4 linked regions of the Drosophila melanogaster genome follow. The protein of the gene in region 3 interacts with the protein of the main gene of each other region in a pairwise test. Each region holds a gene or a part of one and is shown on either strand. Other genes may lie near its edges.

What was found.
Region 1: the proteins of Lmpt (region 3) and CG33695 interact in a two-hybrid assay, tested with the Drosophila melanogaster proteins (one large-scale study listed by BioGRID).
Region 2: the proteins of Lmpt (region 3) and CG10265 interact in a two-hybrid assay, tested with the Drosophila melanogaster proteins (one large-scale study listed by BioGRID).
Region 4: the proteins of Lmpt (region 3) and CG12106 interact in a two-hybrid assay, tested with the Drosophila melanogaster proteins (one large-scale study listed by BioGRID).

What each region holds. Positions count from the first base shown.
Region 1 is NT_033779.5:11,276,079-11,280,890, forward strand, and holds CG33695 (uncharacterized protein), read left to right. Parts: upstream 1-1,942; 5' UTR 1,943-2,034; coding exon 2,035-2,052; intron 2,053-2,072; exon of another isoform or gene 2,073-2,291; coding exon of another isoform or gene 2,292-2,315; coding exon 2,316-2,407; intron 2,408-2,496; coding exon 2,497-2,595; intron 2,596-2,676; coding exon 2,677-3,385; 3' UTR 3,386-3,769; downstream 3,770-4,812. Other genes in the region: cana (CENP-ana), read left to right, coding at 59-259, 321-470, 527-778, 843-1,118, 1,177-1,257; Ppt2 (Palmitoyl-protein thioesterase 2), read left to right, coding at 4,294-4,437, 4,539-4,680, 4,743-4,812.
Region 2 is NT_033778.4:14,991,619-14,996,143, forward strand, and holds CG10265 (uncharacterized protein), read right to left. Parts: upstream 2,218-4,525; 5' UTR 2,134-2,217; coding exon 1,894-2,133; intron 1,811-1,893; coding exon 1,028-1,810; 3' UTR 905-1,027; downstream 1-904.
Region 3 is NT_037436.4:16,897,272-16,902,900, reverse strand, and holds the start of Lmpt (limpet), read right to left. Parts: upstream 3,487-5,629; 5' UTR 2,849-3,486; coding exon 833-2,848; intron 773-832; coding exon 710-772; intron 524-709; coding exon 1-523.
Region 4 is NC_004354.4:9,191,813-9,196,436, reverse strand, and holds CG12106 (uncharacterized protein), read right to left. Parts: upstream 2,540-4,624; 5' UTR 2,402-2,539; coding exon 2,230-2,401; intron 2,166-2,229; coding exon 1,702-2,165; 3' UTR 1,519-1,701; coding exon of another isoform or gene 1,216-1,518; 3' UTR 1,104-1,215; downstream 1-1,103. Other genes in the region: CG12118 (uncharacterized protein), read left to right, coding at 335-886, 1,216-1,518; CG12056 (uncharacterized protein), read right to left, coding at 2,882-3,745; CG12057 (uncharacterized protein), read right to left, coding at 4,093-4,624.

The sequences.
Region 1 (4,812 bases), on a different chromosome or scaffold from region 3:
AGTTTTATTTATTTAACGCCTTCACTTTTGTATTCTATTATATTTTATTCTATACCAGGAAGCTCAAACTAATGATTTCCTAAAAGAAAGGGAAACTTTGAACTTGACTATATCCGATCTTCGGTTGCATAATGAGCAATTGCTAGAAACCTCGAAAAATTATCTATCAGACATAACAGCAGCAAATAATTTAAATCTCGAAATGAAGAAGAATCTTCACGATCTCACAAAAGAGTGCAAGAGCTTACGTTCCGATCTGGTAATAATTAATCTGGTAATCTATCTGGTTGATTACAATATAGGTAATTAAAATTTTTCAGCAATCCAAAGAAGAATATTTCCAAACGCAAAAGCAACTGTTGGATGAAACAATTTCTAATCTAAAGGAGGAAAACCGCAAGATGGAGGAAAAGTTGAGTTCGGGTAACAAGGCGCTCAAAGAGGATTGCGAAAAGCTCCGTTCAACATTGGTAATATTAGACTTGTCTTTGTAGGTTATTCGGTCGCTAATGAAATATTTATTTAGGAATCAAAGGAACTTATACTGCAACAGAATAAACAAGAGTTAGAGGAAAGGCTGACTGTTATTAATGAGAAGAATGGGAAAAACGCACTACTTGACGCCCAGTTGAAATCCAATGAAACCGCCTTTACATCACTGCGAAAGGCATGGATTAAGCAAAGTTTAGCCATAGAAGCGGCCAATAAAAGAAGCCTCGAGATGGAACAGAAGGTTGATAAACGTACGAGGGAGTACGAAGAACTACGATCAACTCTGGTAGAATAATTGCAATCAAAGGCTCTTATAAAATAGCTTAATGTTTTCTCTTTAAATCGCCTAGAAAACCAGGGAAATCAACTTTCGATCGGAGAAGGAACGCATGGACGGCACCATCTCTAGCCTGTTAGAAGACAAGCGTAATCTTGAGGAGAAGTTGTGCACAGTCACCGAGCTCCTGGCTAAGCTAAAGCGCGAACTGCCGGCTTTACACACGCAAAAAGTGAACGGAGGCGATGTGTCCATTGAGTTGAATTCCTCGAATGGATCGCCGACTCCTGCAGCTGTTCCAGCAACAAAGAAGCCCCTGGACTGCAATTCCGCTGAATGTGTGCCAAAGGTACGTATGATCTTCTAAATTTCAAGCATGTAATATTTTTTTTATTTCTCTCGTAAAGAAATCCAGCAGCCTAGAGACTGCGGAGCGGAAGAATCGACGGATGACGGCCTACGATGAGAACCGTAAGCAGTTTTGCTGAAACGACTTACGTGACGGCGGAACTACGACCGTTCCTTTAGGTAAGTTAAGGTTTGCTTGGCCGCGAAATCGTCTAAACTTTATGTGGTTTTAACTAATATTGCAGGTGGCAATTGCCACTGCGAGCAGCGGAGCTGCAAACAAAGACTGAGTTCGGACTGGAGGCAAAACGTTGAGTTCAACGATGATAAAAAAGATGATTAATGTTATCCAAGTATTAGGGATTTCTTTTGTTAGGTGTTATCTTGCAAACGGTGGAATTCCACATCATAAAGTTTTCTATTTATATTTACGCCCTAAGTATTTGTCAAATACTATCAATACAAAAATTACAAAAACAATCGTGATCGTAGTATTTAAATTTAAATCTGTATTATGCTGGTTTTTGTTTAATAGTTAAATTCGATAAATAGTTAAATATTGTTAATTAAGAAATGTTTCCTTCATCATGTGTAATAATATTTGGTTCATATGTATAGCATTGAATAAACTATTTACATTTTCTTAATGTTAAAATCAGATTCGCATAAGTTGCTGGTTCTAATAATAAAAGACATAAATTACTTAAATGTAAATCTAAATAAGCATAACGCTTCTTGTTTGAATTCCCGATTGCACCAATCGATAAGTCGATAGTAGCGCAAATACATATTCTAGTGTTGTGCATTGGAAAATTGACGGCCGCTTGAGTGTTGTGTACGGCGTCAGTGTTGAATAGCTGCGGACGCAAAACTACGTAAAATTACGACAAAAAAACAGCGCCCCGCGAAAAAAGGCCATGAACTCGGCAATCAAGGTAGGTTCAGCCGCTCCACCACATCCGCCGGCAGCTCCGACCGCGTTGATCCCGTCGCCAGCGCCTCCGCGCGTTGCAAGCGAGAAAAAGGCGGCGCGGGAGAGAGTCGAGAGTCATTCGTTTGTCTCACTCCTGCGAGTGGGAAATTTGTTGTTCCACCGTGAGTGGGCCGGCGGGCGGTGGGCAGGGGCGGTGCGTTTGTTTTGAATTTGCACGCGGTAACAACAAACTGACTCCGGATGCAAATCCGCATGCACTTGCAGGTGGGGGAGATATTCACGGCCGCCGGACAGGCGTTCAGCAGACTGGGCGATCTAACCATGCAGCTGCATCCCAATGCGGAGTCGCCATCGGGGTAAGTTGATTCTATGCGGTGGAGTCGCGAGTTTTGTGGACACTAATCGGAGTGTTTCTGTGTGCCTTGTTCCCTCGCCACGGCTGCAGGAAGTGGACGGACGAGGAGATCGACATGCTGCACTCGTCCATAATGCGCTTCTCCGACGACCTGACCAAGATCAGCCTAAGCATCAAGAACCGCACCGTGTAAGTGATCCTGTGCTCCTGGCGAGGGAACCGGCTGCCCAGTGTGTACGTGCTAGTTTTAATTGACCTTCCCCATTGCAGTTCTCAGATCCGCCAGGCGCTGAAGAAGAAGGCCTTCGAGGACGCCGGCATTCCCGCCAAGCAAGTGCCCGTCCAGCAGGTGCAACACGTTCTCCAGACGCTGCCACAACAGCAGCCGCAGCAGCCCCTTCAGCAGCCACCTCCTCAAGTATTCAAGTCACAGCCAATCGTGCAGCACGTACAGCTGGTGGCGCAGCCAAAGCAGATCATCCTGCATCCACAGTCTAATACAACTACGACGGGCACGACGGTGACTGTTAAGCAGTACCAGCAGATGCAGAAGGCTGCGGCATTAGCGGCAGCCCAGGCTGCAGCCTCGACGGCCAACAACACGCCCACCATCACGGAGAACATCATTATCCAGCAGCCCACTTCGACTACGGCGACAGTGGTGCAGCAGCCACATATGGTGTCCACCTGCTCGTCGACGCAGATCGTGGTGCCCGTTGTGTCGGCAGTGTCCACTGTTCCAACAGTACTCTCGCCCACGGTGGTGATTGCCGACGATGTGGTTAGCACCTCCAATCCTCCAGCGGCAGCGGCGACAGTAGGATCGCCAGCAGGGGCGCCAGCAGGCTTAAAGTGCGGACCAGACGTGTCCATGACCCTCAATCGCATCAATGTCCAGGAGAACGAGGTGGACGTGGAGGAGTGCCTGCCCGCAGAGGTGGTCAAGCTGGATTTTGTCAGCGAGGAGGTGGCCGGGTGAGGTTCGAGCCCTCGGAACGGGCTGGACTTCTTCTACTAGATCTCCGGCCGCAGAACGAATCACGTAACTTGGAACAGAACCGCTACAAATCCAGATCGAGAACTCTTAAGCAAAAAGGTTGAGATGCCGCCCTAGCCCTAAGTCTAAACTGTTAAGTGTTGTCATATTTGATATACCCTGAAATCACCTTGTTCCGGGCCCCGGATGACAAATGAATTGTGCGATGTGGAGGACGAGTCTGTGGATCGCCAGCCACAGAGCGTAGATATTAATTGCGGAGCGTATATGCGCCGCCTAGACTTAAATTTACGCAAGACACAATAGTGCAAAGTACATAACGACGATCGTGTAAGTTGAGAGTGAATAAACGAGCATTATTTTAAGATTCGGCGATCTCTGGGATTTTATTGGAGTTAGGAAAGCCCAAGGAGCGTAGAAATTTAGTTATTTGCAATGGCTTCTACAATCTCATTGCTGTAATTTGTACTTCATACTTTTATTTTGATCAGACTGTATTATAAAAGCATATATATAATTATATTTTTAAAGCACCCAATGCAAACTCAATTGTGTTTCTAATGGTCCGCTAAATTATATTGCATTTTATCTTTATTTGAATGTACCCATCCAATTTATGGGACCTATTTTATAAACCTTTCCTTTTAAATGCACACCACGTATTTTAAATTCATCCAATTATTGTACAATGAAGTCTCGAGAAATTTCGAATGCATTTTCAAATTTCGTTCTGCTCATAATTGCGCTCGCAACCCATACATTGCCATTCGCATGTCGGATTTCAAATCCGCACTTTCAGAATTTCCAAAGCGGGTAGCAAGAAGAAGAGCGGCTAATAAAGATACGGATACATCAACAACAACAGTCGGAAATCCATTGTTCCCCACAAAATGAGACTTCGTTTGCAAGTCCTGGTGGCCCTGTTAACCTGCTCGTCCATTTCCGTCTCACTGGCCTACAAACCGGTGGTCATACTCCATGGAATTCTATCAGGAGCCGAATCGATGGCCTCTCTGGTCCGGGAAATCGAAGAGGTTTGTTTTTCGATTCCCCTTTGTTATTGTTTACAGTGGCAAGGTCGAATTTGACGCAAACAACGCAGTAGCACTGATAAACTCATTTCGTCCGTTTGTAGTTTCATCCTGGCACTATCGTCTACAACTGCGACAAGTTCAATGGATGGTACAGCTTGGAGAACGCCTGGCGACAGGTCGATCAGGTTAGGGATTATCTCAACGAGGTGGGCAAACTGCATCCAGAGGGCATCATTGTGCTGGGTAAGGCAGCCGATTTTCATTAGAGTATTTTCTTTTAGTTACCAATACTATGCCTTTTTCAGGATACTCACAAGGAGGCCTTTTGGCCCGGGCGGCCATCCAAAGTCTGCCCGAGCACAATGTGAAGACCTT
Region 2 (4,525 bases), on a different chromosome or scaffold from region 3:
GTAAGGAAATGAACTACAAGTATTTGAAATAGAAATAATATTGAAACTTGAAATGAGAATAAAATTGAATTCTAATTCAAATTTATAGGTGTTTTACTGGCGGATTAAATGTATATTAAATTATAAGTGCTTTAGTAGTGGGACGTACCAAGATTGTTAAAAAACATCTGTTTTTTAAGTCTGGGCTTGGTGACCTTTACAGAGAACTAAACTTAAGGTTCGCTGTCAATGATGCAACTGCAGCCGAAATATTGCAAATATTATAAAATTCACCAAACAAAACACAAGCGGTTCTAAAAATTTCAAAATGATGTCATTTTCACTGCATTGAATGCCAAATCTAAGGTGGCAAAATAAATATTCTGTCCCCAAATTATGTAAGCCCGAATTGGCTGCCATCGTCGTCAGCTGACCTACCTTTTAATTGGTACCGCCTCGGCAGGTGGGTGTGCACACGCGAATTTTGGATTTGGATTCGGCAGTGTTTCGAGTACTACAAAATATATATAACGCCGGGCGCAAGCACAAATATTTCCAATTACTTTCGACCGAAACGCGTGCGGCACCAAAAATCAACAAGCTGCTTCTTCTTCTTACACAGTGATGCCAACTTTTCAGCTACATAAATGGACAACATAAAAAAAGCTAGGACTGTTAACATTTTGTATGGAACATGTGATTACCGTCTTCAAAGTATTTAAACGGCATTGTTTGAGTGATATATAGTTTTAATTATTTAATATAGTTCAATACATTTATAAGCTAAATAGCCACCACTAGTGTATAGTCGATATATTAAATCGATAACGTTGTCGCATCAAAAGGTCACACTGCTTGAGCAAAAAAACCAAAATAAAACATTTAAAATTAAGCGATTTGATAATAAAGAGACTCGCTTGCTATTAAAGTTATAAACGCTATCCGGGAATTTATTAATCTCCATTTAAATTAAATAAAGTTATATTGCTAAATCCTCGCCTCCAGAGGCACATTTAATGGCACCATCCTTACACTACGGCGAATACAACTACGATTTTCTTACTTTGGTGCATCTGATGCCCTTGGATTGCAGTTTTCTCATGATGTCCAAGGTCTCTTGATTTTTGGTTGGATTTAGCTCAGTCGTGGCATTCAATTGGGTACTTGCTCGCTTCACCTCCACACCGCATGCTCTGAGTTTGTTTAGGATTTTCTGGGTGCCATCCAATGGAGGAGTTGATTTGCTTGTTATGGTAGGAACTGGTTTCTCGGGCGTCTTGGGAGGTTCTGGTACTTCAGATATCCTTGAAGAGACTGGTATAATAAGCTTCGATGCAGGAGAAAATTTCATGGGTACCAATTGAGATGTTGACTGCGTTGTCCCGGTAGCACGAGATTGCAATGACCTTACAGGATGTACAGGAGCTGGTGGTGCCTCTGGAATCCTTTCCTTTTTCTCCGTGTCCTGCAATCGCTTCAGATCTTCCAGCACAGTGGGCACCAGAATGATGGCCTTTTTCATCTTTACTGCTGGCGGTTGAGGGGAAGTCAAGCAGGCACGGGATCTGCGCTGCTGCTGGGAGGTCAGAATGGTACGTCGGGTGGTGGGAGGGCTACGCGGACGTTTCGCAGGCACCCCTTCCGGTTCCTGAGGCTCCTTGGCGAGCGGCACTACATCCTCCTTTACTATATTTTCCTTGGAATTTGTCTTTGGTATGGTCTGCACGGTGGGCTTGGGATTGGTGTACCAGCGTGGATCCTCCAGCTCTGCCTCCCAATCGATGGCCGTGTTGGTGTTCTTCTTAACCGCCTCCAGGTCGTAGATGTGAATCTGCAAGAAGTGAGTTCAATCAAAAGGATTCTCAGGAAGTTTTCAGGGCAACGCCGGATCATGGAGCTCCCTTAGCTGCCTACCTCCTGTCTGCCATTCACCAGTCTCGTTTCCCGATTGGCATCATCAAATGCCAGCGGTTCGATCGGCGTTACTATGTATTTTACTCCGGGGCAATCGGCTAGGTGGCGTTGGAACGATTGGAGCGTCATAAAGTGGCATTCGCAGCTGCGGCACAGCGTTAGAAGTCGTTTTTGGTCGTCGTATAGAACGTCGCCAAGGCGAATCGTCTTCATGGACTTTATTTTACGCGATCCATTCATTTTTTTTGTAGCCAATTCGCGCCAAGAAGAAAAATGGTATTAAAAAATTATTTCAGTTTGTTTTTGCATTCGTGCAGAGTGGCCAGACGTTGAAACGTAGTAGATGTCAACGATTTTTAGTTGGTACAAAATCTGACATAAAAATACCAAACAGTTGCTATTCATTTTGTTGCGCGCCTAAATTCAAAGCACACAAAAAACCAAATAGGAAAAACACATTACACATTAAAAAAAAAAACATTTAGATATAAGATTTGATAAGGATGACGATATATAAATGGTATAATAAAATGTTTGGAATAATTTAATATAAATATTATATAAATAATTTATGTTTATATGTAGTTTTGCTCAGATTGATAAAAAATAGATGAAAACATACTTTCACTATGTAAAATAGAACGATTTTTTTGTTTACGGTTTTTGGTCCATGAATCGAAAATTACTGGAAAGATTTTATTTGAACTGCTCCTGCTCATTTTTTGCTGCATTAATAGTAACTCTCTGCTTTCTTTTACATTGTCGAATAAGTGGACTAGCGTTTTCTTTGTTCTTTTTCCCGTGTTGGCTTTTGTTTCCTTTGATTAACGCCCATGCAATTGAAATTAAATCGCTTGCAAATGATTCGCAAGCTACCTAAAAAAAAATTGGGCAATCCAAAAAATGACATCGTTTATGCAGCCGGGGACTGCGCCATTTGTAAGCTTGCCATTTTTTCGACCAATGTGATATGGAGCCATATGGAGGGAACATTGTCTGATTTTGACTTCAACTCGAATGTCTGTCTAGTGTGTGTGGAAAACAAATGAAAAGGAAATCCAGCACTTTTTGCGTACCTACATATATATTAAATTTTTTTTTTTTGTTGTTGTAATGTTCCGCATAACGAGCACGGACCATGTCGAACCACGTGCAGCATAATCACCCGGCAGAGCGTAGGTGAGTATCGTTGGCATATTCTTGATATTTTTCAAACTGGCCCACTTTTGGTTGAATTTTCCTGCTATTCTTGCAACTTAATAAGTGAACTTTAAAGAGCCGCATCGCTTACAGCCCGGAAATTGTATGGATCTGTGGGTCGCAGCTCCAGCGGCAATTGGATGAAGTTGCCGATGCTGATGAGGCTGCTCCTGCAGTTGCTATTCCTGCATGCAATTAAGCCAGGGACGAGAGCGAGGCACAACTTGCCACTCTGTGTGTCCCAAAACTGCAAGCTGACCATGCAAATTACGTTGCCCACACTCATACTTGCACACGCTCTGCTACACACACGCATTCCTGTCGCCTCGTTTGGGGGCCTGCGGGGCTCCCCGGCATTTGAGTGATGCACCAAGTCGAGGAAGCGGAGAAGGTGGCCAGCTAGCTGGAACCCCATTGCCGCTGCCACTGCCACTACTACTACTACTACTAACTGCCACTGCCAAAGCTAAGTTAAATGGACCTGCGGTGCACTCGAGCAGCCAGGACGCAAACTACAGTGGATACCGCTTAAAGTATATAACTGTTATTATTTGTATTGTTTATTGTACTGATCCTAAATAGAAGATATTAGCTTCCCTTAAAACGCCTGACTGTGCTGTGATGCTTCTACACAAATTAGACACAATTCGAAACTAGCTTGTTGGCTGCTAACAGTTTGGATATAGCCAGGCACCACTGTACGCCGTGCATGCAGATTGAAGTGCAGACCATGTCAAGGTAGCGGCTGCAGCTTTGGCCAGTAGATTAAATTAAACGTGGCAAAGGAGACGGCGCCAGAAGAGGACGAGCTCCGTGGCTAGGTGGCTCCATGGCTCCATGGCTGCATGGCTCCGTGACTCCGAGGGCTCGCCAGCCAGCCAGCTTGCCAGGAGGAGCAACTGCAGCCATGCGATGGCAATGGCAACGGCAACGACAATGGCAACAACATTAAACGTGTTTACACCATGTCCGACCAGTTGATATGCCAACTGCCCCCCGACCTGTCCTGCACCCCACCACACACACACACACTCACTGGCACACACACACACATAGGGATGCGTAACCAGGCATGAACTGCTCTTGGACAATGAACACATGCCATGGCAGGGCATTACCACCTACCCATCTGTCCGCCCAGCCGCCCACCACCCACCACCCGTCCACTATTGTCCTGCTCTTTGTTTACTGTTTTTCAAGGGGTTTCGCAGCCGAGTGAACTAGCAAAAAAAATGAAAGCAAAGAATCACAATCACTGCATACTTGCAGGTGCAGCTGCTGTCATAATACAATAGAAAAGCTGGCGCTACAATTGCCACAGATGTTGTTGTTGCTGTTGTTGTTGATGTTGGTGTTGTTGCTGTTGCATTGTTGTGGACTGCGAATTAACTAAGGCCACCCCATCACAGTTCTCTTCCCCACTTTTCGCTGG
Region 3 (5,629 bases):
CGTGAACCATGGGTAAGATCGATTTACCATCCCTGGCATCATCGGCTACAGTTTGCACTTGAAGTTGGTCATTTGTAGATTCGGTTTCATTCAAGTTCGACTCCAGAAGCTGAAGTACAGACTCGCAGTTTAGTTCGCCTGCCATTACACCTTCCTGAGTGTCGTCGTAAACCTCCAGCGACCGCTCCGTGTCCCCATCCATCAAATTTGCCACATTCTTGGGAGCTGGTGAGGGATTTCGCGATGCCGAACGGGATCTCGATGGGTTTACGGATGCGGTAAAGTCGTAGAAATCGCTAAGTCCTTCCATTAGCAATCCGTACTGATCCCGCCAAGGAGCCGTATCCGGCTGCTGGACATTGATGGCTGGTGCTGTTCGCGGTGGCTGCTGTTGCACTGACTGCTGCTCCTGGCTGGCGGACCAGCGCTCCGGATAATGCTCCATTTCATCCATACGTGGACTGCGTCGCAAGCCAGGTGAACCACCCCTTGATTGCTCCTCTGCTGCGATAGAGGTTTGCAGCTTTTTGGGGGAAAGGTGAAGCGGAAAAGCAAGCGGAATGTGGGAGCAGTAGCAATATGAAAAGCAAAGAGGTAAAGCAGTTAGGACAGTTAGTTATGCGGCAGTGGTGTCTGCGATTGGTGGATTAGGTTGTGGTCGAAATTATTGGGTGAGAAATGATGCCAGGTGTCTGTGCTACGCACTTACATTGGATTTGTTGCTGTCGCTGGTATCCACTGCTTGCGGGTTGTCCTTCTCCGCTTCTTTGTCCTAACACACACATAATAAATCATTGATATAGATCCTCGGCTTGTAGATTCATTTACTCACCAACTGCTCCTTGGAAAGTTGTTGTTTTAGGGCAGCCACTGCCTGTTCGTTTTGTGCCTCAGTGGCCTCTTCAAAGGAGGACGATTTTGGCTCATTTGTAGCTTCTTCCTCCACATCCTCTCCCCTGGATGGTCTTTCTAGTTCGATTTCCTCCTCGTCTATGGAGAGCGCTTTTTCCCGCTTCCAAAACTCGGTATCCTTATAATGCTCCGGCACAACCTCACCCCAGGGATTTGTGCTCTCCTCACCGAGCATCTCTAAGGATGTGGTCGACTCTGCCGTTGGTCTAACATCCTTTGCTGGACTCCTTTTGTGACGTCGGTGGGATTTAACCCTCAGGGTAGGTTCGCTCGTATACTTGATGGGGTTATAGTCCTCTCGGTCGCCGTGGCGCAACTCCTCCTCCTCTAGCGAGGTGAACATCTTTAGTTCTTCGTCGCGGGAGGCTCGCGATTCCCGCGAGGAGTTCGAGCTTCCACTGGATCGTCGCTTCTTAAAAGCCCTTCTTCTCCCTGAACCATCCTCTCGCATCAAAGGACGATTCTTAATGCCATCTAGAGAACGAAGGTAGTCCTCGGTGTACTGGACTTCCTGTATCTGATCTTCTCCTTCAGGTTCTGGGCGTTCACTTTCGATTCTGTTGCCCTCATCAGAGGGCTGCGTGCTGAAGGACGACTGCTGGATGGAGAACGGAGTTTTGGGTTCAAGAGAGGATCCTTCATCCGATACGCCAGGGAAGGTGAGTGTTTTTGACTTTGCTGAGTAGGCGTCTTCAGGACCACTTCCTTGACCAAATTGAGTTTTCACTTTATGCACCATGGGTTCTTCTGGAGGCTCCTGAAACCTGGGTGGAGCCACTTTCTTCACACACAGCTCCTCCACCACGGGTTCCATGCCAGCATACTCGTCTGCCTCCTCTTTGCTGTGTGAGGCTTGAAGTTGGCGCTGTTGTAACATTACCATCTCCTCTTCTGCCTCAAGAAAGCGTCTGGCGTTTTCCTCAATCATTCGCTGTTTTTGCTCCAGATCAGTTCTGCTGGAGATCAGGCGACGCGACTGCTCTGCGATGGCAGCATCCTCCTCCAGTTCGCTCTCTGTAGCGCTTGGACTGAGCTCTCTTTCTGCTGCCAGAAGACGCTCTACGATCTCCGCATCCCTCAGTGCTTGCCCTTCTTCGTCAGCTTGATCGCGCTCTCGCTGAATCTCGGCATCAAAGAGACGACGCTCGGCTTGCGCTGCCTCGGCTTCAGCCAGGATCCTTTGTTGTTCGGCTCGCTCCTTTTCGGCTTCGGCCTGCTCTCTCTGACGCTCTGCCACGACGATTCTTCTTTCGCTTTCTTCTCGCTCGCGCTGCTCTTCAGCTTCTTGCAGTCTTCGCTCATTCTCCTCCCTTTCCCGTTCGGCATCTATCAGCCTTCTTTCGTTTTCTAGGCGTTCTTTCTCCTCGTTTTCGCGCTGTTTACGCTGATTTTCTTCTGCTTCTAGCTGTCTGCGTTCGGCTTCTCTTTGTTCCTGCAGTTCTTTCTCCGCCTGCTCTCTTTCGCGCTGTCTTTCCGCCTCTACGAGCTTTCTCTGCTGCTCCTCCGATTCCTCTTTCTCCCTCTGGACTCGTAGTCTTTCTTCTACCAGCTTGGCCTCGGCTTCGGCCAGCTGACGCCTCGTATCGGCTTCAATTTGCTGTTGACGTGCCAGTTCGGCTGCCAAAGCTTGTCTTTTATCTCCAGCAGGATCTACTCGTATTCCATTGACATATAGGACACCATCCTGCATGACATTGGTTCCTGCCAGGGCTTCCCTTTCCGCCGCCTCCTTGATCTGCTTATCCAATCGCTCTCGCATGCGAGGCAATTCTTCTGCGTCAGCTGCTGCATCTACAGAAGAATCGCCGGGATGTTGGAAAGTCCAGTGGTATAGATGGCGCGCCACAAAGGCGAATTCCAGGGCACCTAGGTATCCAATTAGCAGCGAGAATAGTAGCTCGCCGACGCCGGTTAGCGCCGTCTCCTCAGCGGCCATTGCGTAATGACCAGAATCGAAACGGAATCCGAATCCTCCAACGTTCGCCGATGCAATGAGAGTATGTGTCGACGAGAACCGAATCGGCTAACACGTATTATATAAAATATATTCACCACGCACTCGAAAATTCACACCACTCACGTTAATGGCCAGCCGATTAGGTAATTCGAAAAATATTTATTTCACTTTCGCTCACAAATCATTGAACCAATCATCGATATATATTCATTTATCTACGTTTTGAGACGATTTATGAGAGCGCGAAGCAAGAAGAATCGGAGATGGGCGGACTCGCCAGGCGGATGCAGTTGCTCGGGCGGCGAGCTCTTGTTTTCCGCTAATCGATCGTCTTGCAACTGATTAATGCCCCAGCCAATGCCCATGGGTCCCCCGATTTCTAGAGAACAAGTGAATCAGCGGCGAGAGAACCGCCAAGAACCGAATCCGTTCAAATGGCAAACGGCGCTAATTGACGGCCAGCGATGAGAGCAAAAGGCCTGTAGAGCTGACAAGACATCGCCGACTTTTGTCGCTGGCAATTTGGCAACACAAATGTATCTGCTTCTGTCCGCTGCCGTTGTTGCACTGCCTTGCCTCCGTGTCAAATGCCAAAGCAATCGGAATTGGCCAAAGCCGATTTTCTAATCAGTTTAGTCGACACCCCGCCGGCCGCGCCCCCTTTTCGTTTGGGGGGAACTATTTTTGGTCTATGCTTCGATTGCTGTTTTCCACAAAACACTTTTCGCCACTTTCTGCTTTGCTCGCCGTTTTCGTGCGGGAGAACAGTTAGCGACATGACCATAAATCGGATAGGGAAAATCAAATGCAACTGTCATTTCGATAACATAATGAAGAGTTTTTTAATCTCAAGCAAGTATCAAGATTTAGGGATCTTTTCTTTCCTATCCTTTTATTCAGGTTTAAAAATTCAATTTATCAAAATTAATCAGAAAATGTTTCTTTTGATATTTTAAAATAATAAAAAATCAAGTATTTTCTGAAAAACATGATCTTTCTATACTGCATACCACACATATTATTCAGACGCACAGTTGGCTGCAATAATATACAGAGCTAAGGTGCCAATTTCCATAAAAATGCTTAATTTGGCATTAATGGTCACATCGTATCTCCGATTTTAGAAAAAATAACATTTAAGAGTACAATGTTGAGATACAATTTTGTTTATAAAATGCCCAATTCTTTTGTTTATTTTGCCAATAAAATTTGGTATTCTCGAAAGTGGGAAAAATATATTTTAGCATTCGTAATTCTTATGGGCATGACTTTTACTGTTCCTGGTGTTTGCAAATCAGTTTTCTTTGGCATTGCCAGCGCCTGGGGCCAGGGTCGCCACGCCCCATTTCGCCGCCTCCGAGCGGATTGCACACAAATGTTTGCCATAAATTTCGTCTTGGCACTGACACTAACATTGCCAGCAGCTTTCAGAGGCTCTTTATCGCCGATTTCGCTGTGGTTCTCTTCTGCGTTTTCAGAATCAGTATAATTATTGTCAAACGCGGCATAATTGTGTTCTTTGCCCCACAAAGCCAAACTATTTTTGTATTCTTTTGTTTATTCTCATCATCTGATTGTCATTAGAAATTGTGGCAAAAATAGATAGATTTATATGAATAAATGGGTCATCTGGGCTCTGATATATTCATATGTTTATTTTGCTTTTCGCAACGAAAGCGAAAGTGTTTCTGATGGTAATTTAAATTTATTTTGAATAAATTTAAACATGGTTTTTTGTACAATAACACCGAAAGGCGACAGACAATGCAATTTCTTTATCCAACATTTTCTAATTAAAAATCGATCAACACGCATATAAAAAAAATTTATTTACTTGCATATTACACCCCCAATCTATTTAAAATCAAAATAAATGGATAAAGGATATTTTCAATCGAGCTAAAGCAGTTTGTGCACATCAATAACAAATTGCGAATACCTGCAGCAATTTTTAGCAATCTCTAACCTTAACCGAATGCCACAAATTTCCGGCTCACTCGCAATGAACTTCCGCTCGACGGATGACAACGCGTCAACAGCCAGTGCTGCCAATGAACTGCCTTCATTTCTTTGTTGCCATCGCCACTCGCGAGTCGCTGCATTTGCGGAGCTGGAGGATAGATATCCCCGGGATCCCCGACTCCCACAGGCAGCCAAGTGAAGTTCAATGAAAATGCCATAACCTTTGGAAAGGGCGATTGCCGCACCTATGCAATAAACGTGAACTGCGTGCGGCGGGCGATAAAAACCAGAGCCCGTGACAGCGAGCACTCACTCACACGGACACTCTTGATTTGCCAGGCGACACACAGATACCATCTGCAGACGTTGCCCCAAAAGTGTGCCACACAATATTTGTCAATTAGGGATCGGATAGGTGGGGTTATGCCAAAGACGACTCACCTCATCACAGCCAGCGCAGCGGGGCTTCAGCATTTCCGCATAGTGGCGCTCGCAGTAGACCTTGTCGTCGTGGACGCAGTAGGTGAGGTCCACGAGTAGCGAGTTGCAGGTGCTGCAGGTGAAGCACTTTGGGTGCCACATCACGCTCTCCACAAACTTGGGCGCCGCCACAACTAGCTCGCCGGCGGCTATCTCGTTATCACAGTGCGCACAATGCTCATCGTAGGGGGCATCCTTGATGTAGGCTATTCAACAGGAAAATAATGCAAAACGCAATTAGTTAGGTCACTCTGGGTGAGGTCAGGCAATTTAAACTAAAGCCATTCGCAGGCTTGTCATAATGTGTAATGCCTAAGT
Region 4 (4,624 bases), on a different chromosome or scaffold from region 3:
AATGGGATCAGCTGTTTGTCGATATTGAAAATTTTAGTTTAGAAAAACAGAAAAACGGAACGACGTAGGAATCCAGTAGCAGCTGTGCGTCAAAAAAAACTAGTCGTCTCTACTTTCAAATAGGCAATAGATTTAATCTGAAAACAAAATTCAACGTAAAATTCTAAAGCCACATAAAATCCGGCATTATTTGAAAGCGTCTGCAGAGCACAGCACTCCAAATCCAGTTCCGCCATCCAAGGTAAGCACCATTGTCGTCGCATTGCATCTCGCATCCAAAATAGCACTGATTGCCAGCAGATTCTACGCATTTACAGAAGCATATGATATAATAATGTCTCGATCATTGAGTCGCGTATTGGGTACCATCTGGGCGCCATCCCTGTCCATTTCACATACCGTACATCGCGGATCCAACAGACTGAACGACCTACTGAGCACCAAGGTGACCAACACGGCCATCATTCCGGTGGCTAGATACTCCAAGCGAAATGGCCCACCGTCGGATGCCGGCGGATACTTTAAGACCGTCAAGTCGCGGGATCTCGACGACGACGATGAGCTAAATAGTTTGGAGAGTGAGCCCAACTGGGAACTGACCGCCGAAAGAGGCAATCGCTTCTATCTGCCAAATGGCATTGGGCCCGCCTGGCAGGGCGACAGCACCACCGTCGGTCTGCTCGAGCCGCTTGGCCACCTGGTTAACTTTCACAAGGGTCCCAATACGGACAAATCGCGCCTGGAATTCACCTGCTGTAAGTGTCCCCTGCTTATCCGTGTGCCACTCTTGGAGATCTTCCCGGTACCCGTCGTCGCACAGCAGTGCATAAACATCACCATGCTTGTTCTCAGCCACGAAGGAGACATCGAAATGGGCGCTGCCAAGGTGAGAAATCAGTTTTATTCACGCATCCACACTGTAGCGGGAAATCACACTGCAGTGTATTTGGATGAATTGGAGGAATGACCTCGTTATTGCTCTGATCATTTGTTTATATACAATCAAACCAGTTTAGCACGTTGAAAGCTAGGTGGGTTGACCTTCCTTAAGTTTGGCACCCAATTTTAAAGTAAGCCATAACATTTTCAATCATTTGTAATAAGTTTTAGATTTGGGTTGATGAATGAGAATACAGAGAAGTTAGTTTGTTGGTATTTACCTATTATCTAAACGAGTATATCTACATACATAACTAATGCCAACTACCTTTGCAGTTTGTCCTGGCAGCGCGGGAGATGTGCGATCGCCTGCTATCGTACGGCTACTGGGCGGACTTCATGAATCCGTTTAGCGGACGTCCATTCTTTCTACCACGGGAAGGGGCTAATCTATACAGGCTGGACTCACGCTTCCGTGGTCTAAACATGCGGCTTTCGGAACAGAACCGTTGCACAGTGATTTCCGCCGAGAAGAACGACAGCACCCGCTTCTCGGGCACCATCTATAGCACAGCGCCGAATCACTATGGGCAGCTGATGAAGCTGCTTGTGCCGCCGCCGCACAAGGTTGCCCATTGACGCGGATGATCAACGAAGTGGTTGCCATTGGAGTTGGACTCCAAATGATGAAGCCGTAGCCTTTTAAGCGATGATGACTGTGTTAACTGTTTAGGTTTCCTGTTCCGACACTGTATATAGCCGACAATGCTGGTGTTATATGCTGCGAAATATAATCGATAAGAATTTGAAGAGCTTGTTTCCCTAGACCACGGCCATCTGTTGGCAGTGCCGCTCGATCTCCTTGAGACGATTGATTAGCGACTGCAGCTCCTCGGCATTGCAGACAAACTCAACGATGGTCACCCGCTCGCCGCTGCTCTGCCGAAAGTTGCCCAGATTGATGTGGAAGCAGGCCGCGCCCGTGCTGCAGTCCGAGGTGGAAGACTTCACGTCGCACACGATGCGCCACTGGATGTCGGTAATGTGCGGAAAGCTATGGCCTATTTGCAGTTGGCGGAGAATTAGATCCTTGCGGCTGTCCTCGTAAACGCGACTCAGCTCGTCGACGGCAGCTGCATCGAGGTTGAGTTGCTCCAGCTGCTGGCGCAATTGAAGGCCATCCCAGCCGTGCTTGGTGCCCAGGGCGAAGAGGGTGACCACCGCGTACTCGCTCTGTTTGGCGCAGGCGGCGTTCTTGGCATACAGCTCGGGCACCGGAGCAATGGCTGTGGGGGTGTACATATTAGGATTAGGTCTACGCGAAACACCAATTTCCAGCTTCCAACTCACTGGCATCTGGATGGAGCGTCAGTTTCAAGGAATTGGCAATGAGCAGTTTGGTGAGTGGCAGCGAAATGATGGCACCCAGGTTCTTTAAGCCGGCCACCACAGTGGGGGAAATCAGGGCAGTTTGCTCGTCGTCTGTGCTCAGGGCGGAGGAACTTCCCGGCAATGTGTCCATGTGTAATAGTTTAAATTTCTTGGATATTTATTAAAACAAAGCTATATTTATAAAATTAAACCGCTTGTAAACAAGATATGCGCCTAACAGCACAGCTAACGGTCTTAACAGCAGCTTTTAAGTGTGAAATGTTACTGTTAAGGCAGTGCGGCCTCGCTAAAGTTGAAAAGAGAACCAAGTCCCGTTCATTGGTATGTCTATTAAAGGGTATTGATTTACAGATACAACAAATAATATCCAACGATTTAAATAAAGTTGAGCTGTTGATAGCAAATAAATGGTTTGGTTTTACAGATAGAAATAAGTGTGCTCAAGTATTTAGCTTGAATGTCAACATTTCCCAATTGTTGTTGTCGATGTAGCGCAACTAAAAATTTAACAGAAGAGAACCGGAACTAGTTCCGCCAGCCATGTTAACTCCACCTAATAATTTATTGATCCAAATGCACTAATTACTATTTACAAATCCCGGCCCTGCTGCTACACCCTGTAGAAGCACTCCCTGGCCTGTGGCTCGCAATTGTCGTAGGGTTTCAGCATGGCATCACCGTGAGCCACCTTGCCGCCGGCATCGATCTCGTCCAGCTCCGCATCCGGCACACAGGCGCACTGGAAACTCTTGTTGCCGCGACTGTACAGCTTGCGCGGATAACCGATCCAGGAGCGCTCCTTGCCATCGCCACTGGTCGTGGTGCACCAGACGCGAGTGCCGCGCTCCTCGCTCCACTCGATATTGCAGCCGGGATACCGGGCACGCAGCTCCTCCACCTGTCGCTTGGCATCTCGTGCCTGCTCCAGCAGCTCCAGAAACTTATGATGATAGGTGGTCAGGGCGCCCTTCTCATCGTAGAAGCGCCCAATTACCCGTCCCTTGTAGACGTAGTCCTTTTGATAGAAATCCCGCCATCCGGCCAAACCAATCAGGTCGTCCGGCTTTAGGGTTAACACATCGTCGGCCGTTTCCGGATCGTACGTCTCAAAATCACCGGAAATGAAGGATACGGAGGCGTCGCGACCCACGAAGAAGTTGTAGCTGCAGCCGGATCCGTAATGCTTAATGCCGCGGCTCACATCGAAGACGGAACCGAGTAGAGCCAGGTAAAGCGGACGACCCTCTTCCTCGCCATTGAATTTGGCCAACTCGGCCGGTGTAAAGAGCGTGCCGATATCGTCACCAGCTTGGAACGCCAGGGGAATGCTCGCATCCTGCCCAGCTTGGTCCAGGTAGTTGTCCGTTTGGCGACGCAGGAACTGCCTAATCTCTGTGTGATAAATTCCGCCCAGAACGGCTGCCACAACGAAAAGAAATTGAAATTTGAACAGGTGTCGCAGCAATCCGAACATCTTGCCGTTTAACAGTGCGGAACCGAAACTGGTTCCACTTGAAATTGAAACTAGCGTACGGTTAAGGTGACCATGCCAGATAACAGACCGGAAAACCGGTTTGAATTTAAAATTTTGTATTTTCATTCTATGTATAATAATGTAAGTTTTTCGATTAACTCCGTTATTTATTTATACTTTCGTACACAAAAATTGAACTTTAAAATAAATTCTTTCTAAAATGTTAGCACACAAATCACACTGCAACAAGCAACACTGCAAAAAAAAAAAAAATAACTAAATAACATTTGGCATAGAACATGCATAATTTTTATTTGCAGAATCCAGGTAAATAAGTTTGTGTTCACCTAGCGACGACGGTAGACGCAGGCGTCGATGTTGTTGTTCACCTCCTGGAGACCGAGCACCGCCTGCGAGGATGCGGAGTGGGTGCACACATTGCCATCGGCGAAGACGTCCGGGATGCGTTCGCTGGTCGACTGACGGATGGTCTTGATGGAGGAGCGCGCACTGACCAAATAGACGGTGGCCTGGACATAGAACTTGGCCAAGCAGGTCTGCTTCAGCACGGAGTTCTTGTACGAGTTGCATTTGTTGTAGGTGCTGGCCAGGCTGTAGCCACCGTAGACCAGTTGCTGGGTGGCGGCACTCACATCGGAGGCAATTTCGGCGGATGTCTGGGCGGCCACAACGCCGCAGGCGTACAGATCCTCATGGGCGGCATTCACGATGCGGGTGATCTCCTCATCCTCGGCGGCCACGCATTCGGGACTCTCCTCGCGACGCGACTCCACCTGCTCGACGGCTGCCTCCAATTCGTTTTGCGGCTCCAGGACGATCTCTTCGTACTGACTCAACAGTACCTCGCCGGTCGCCTTG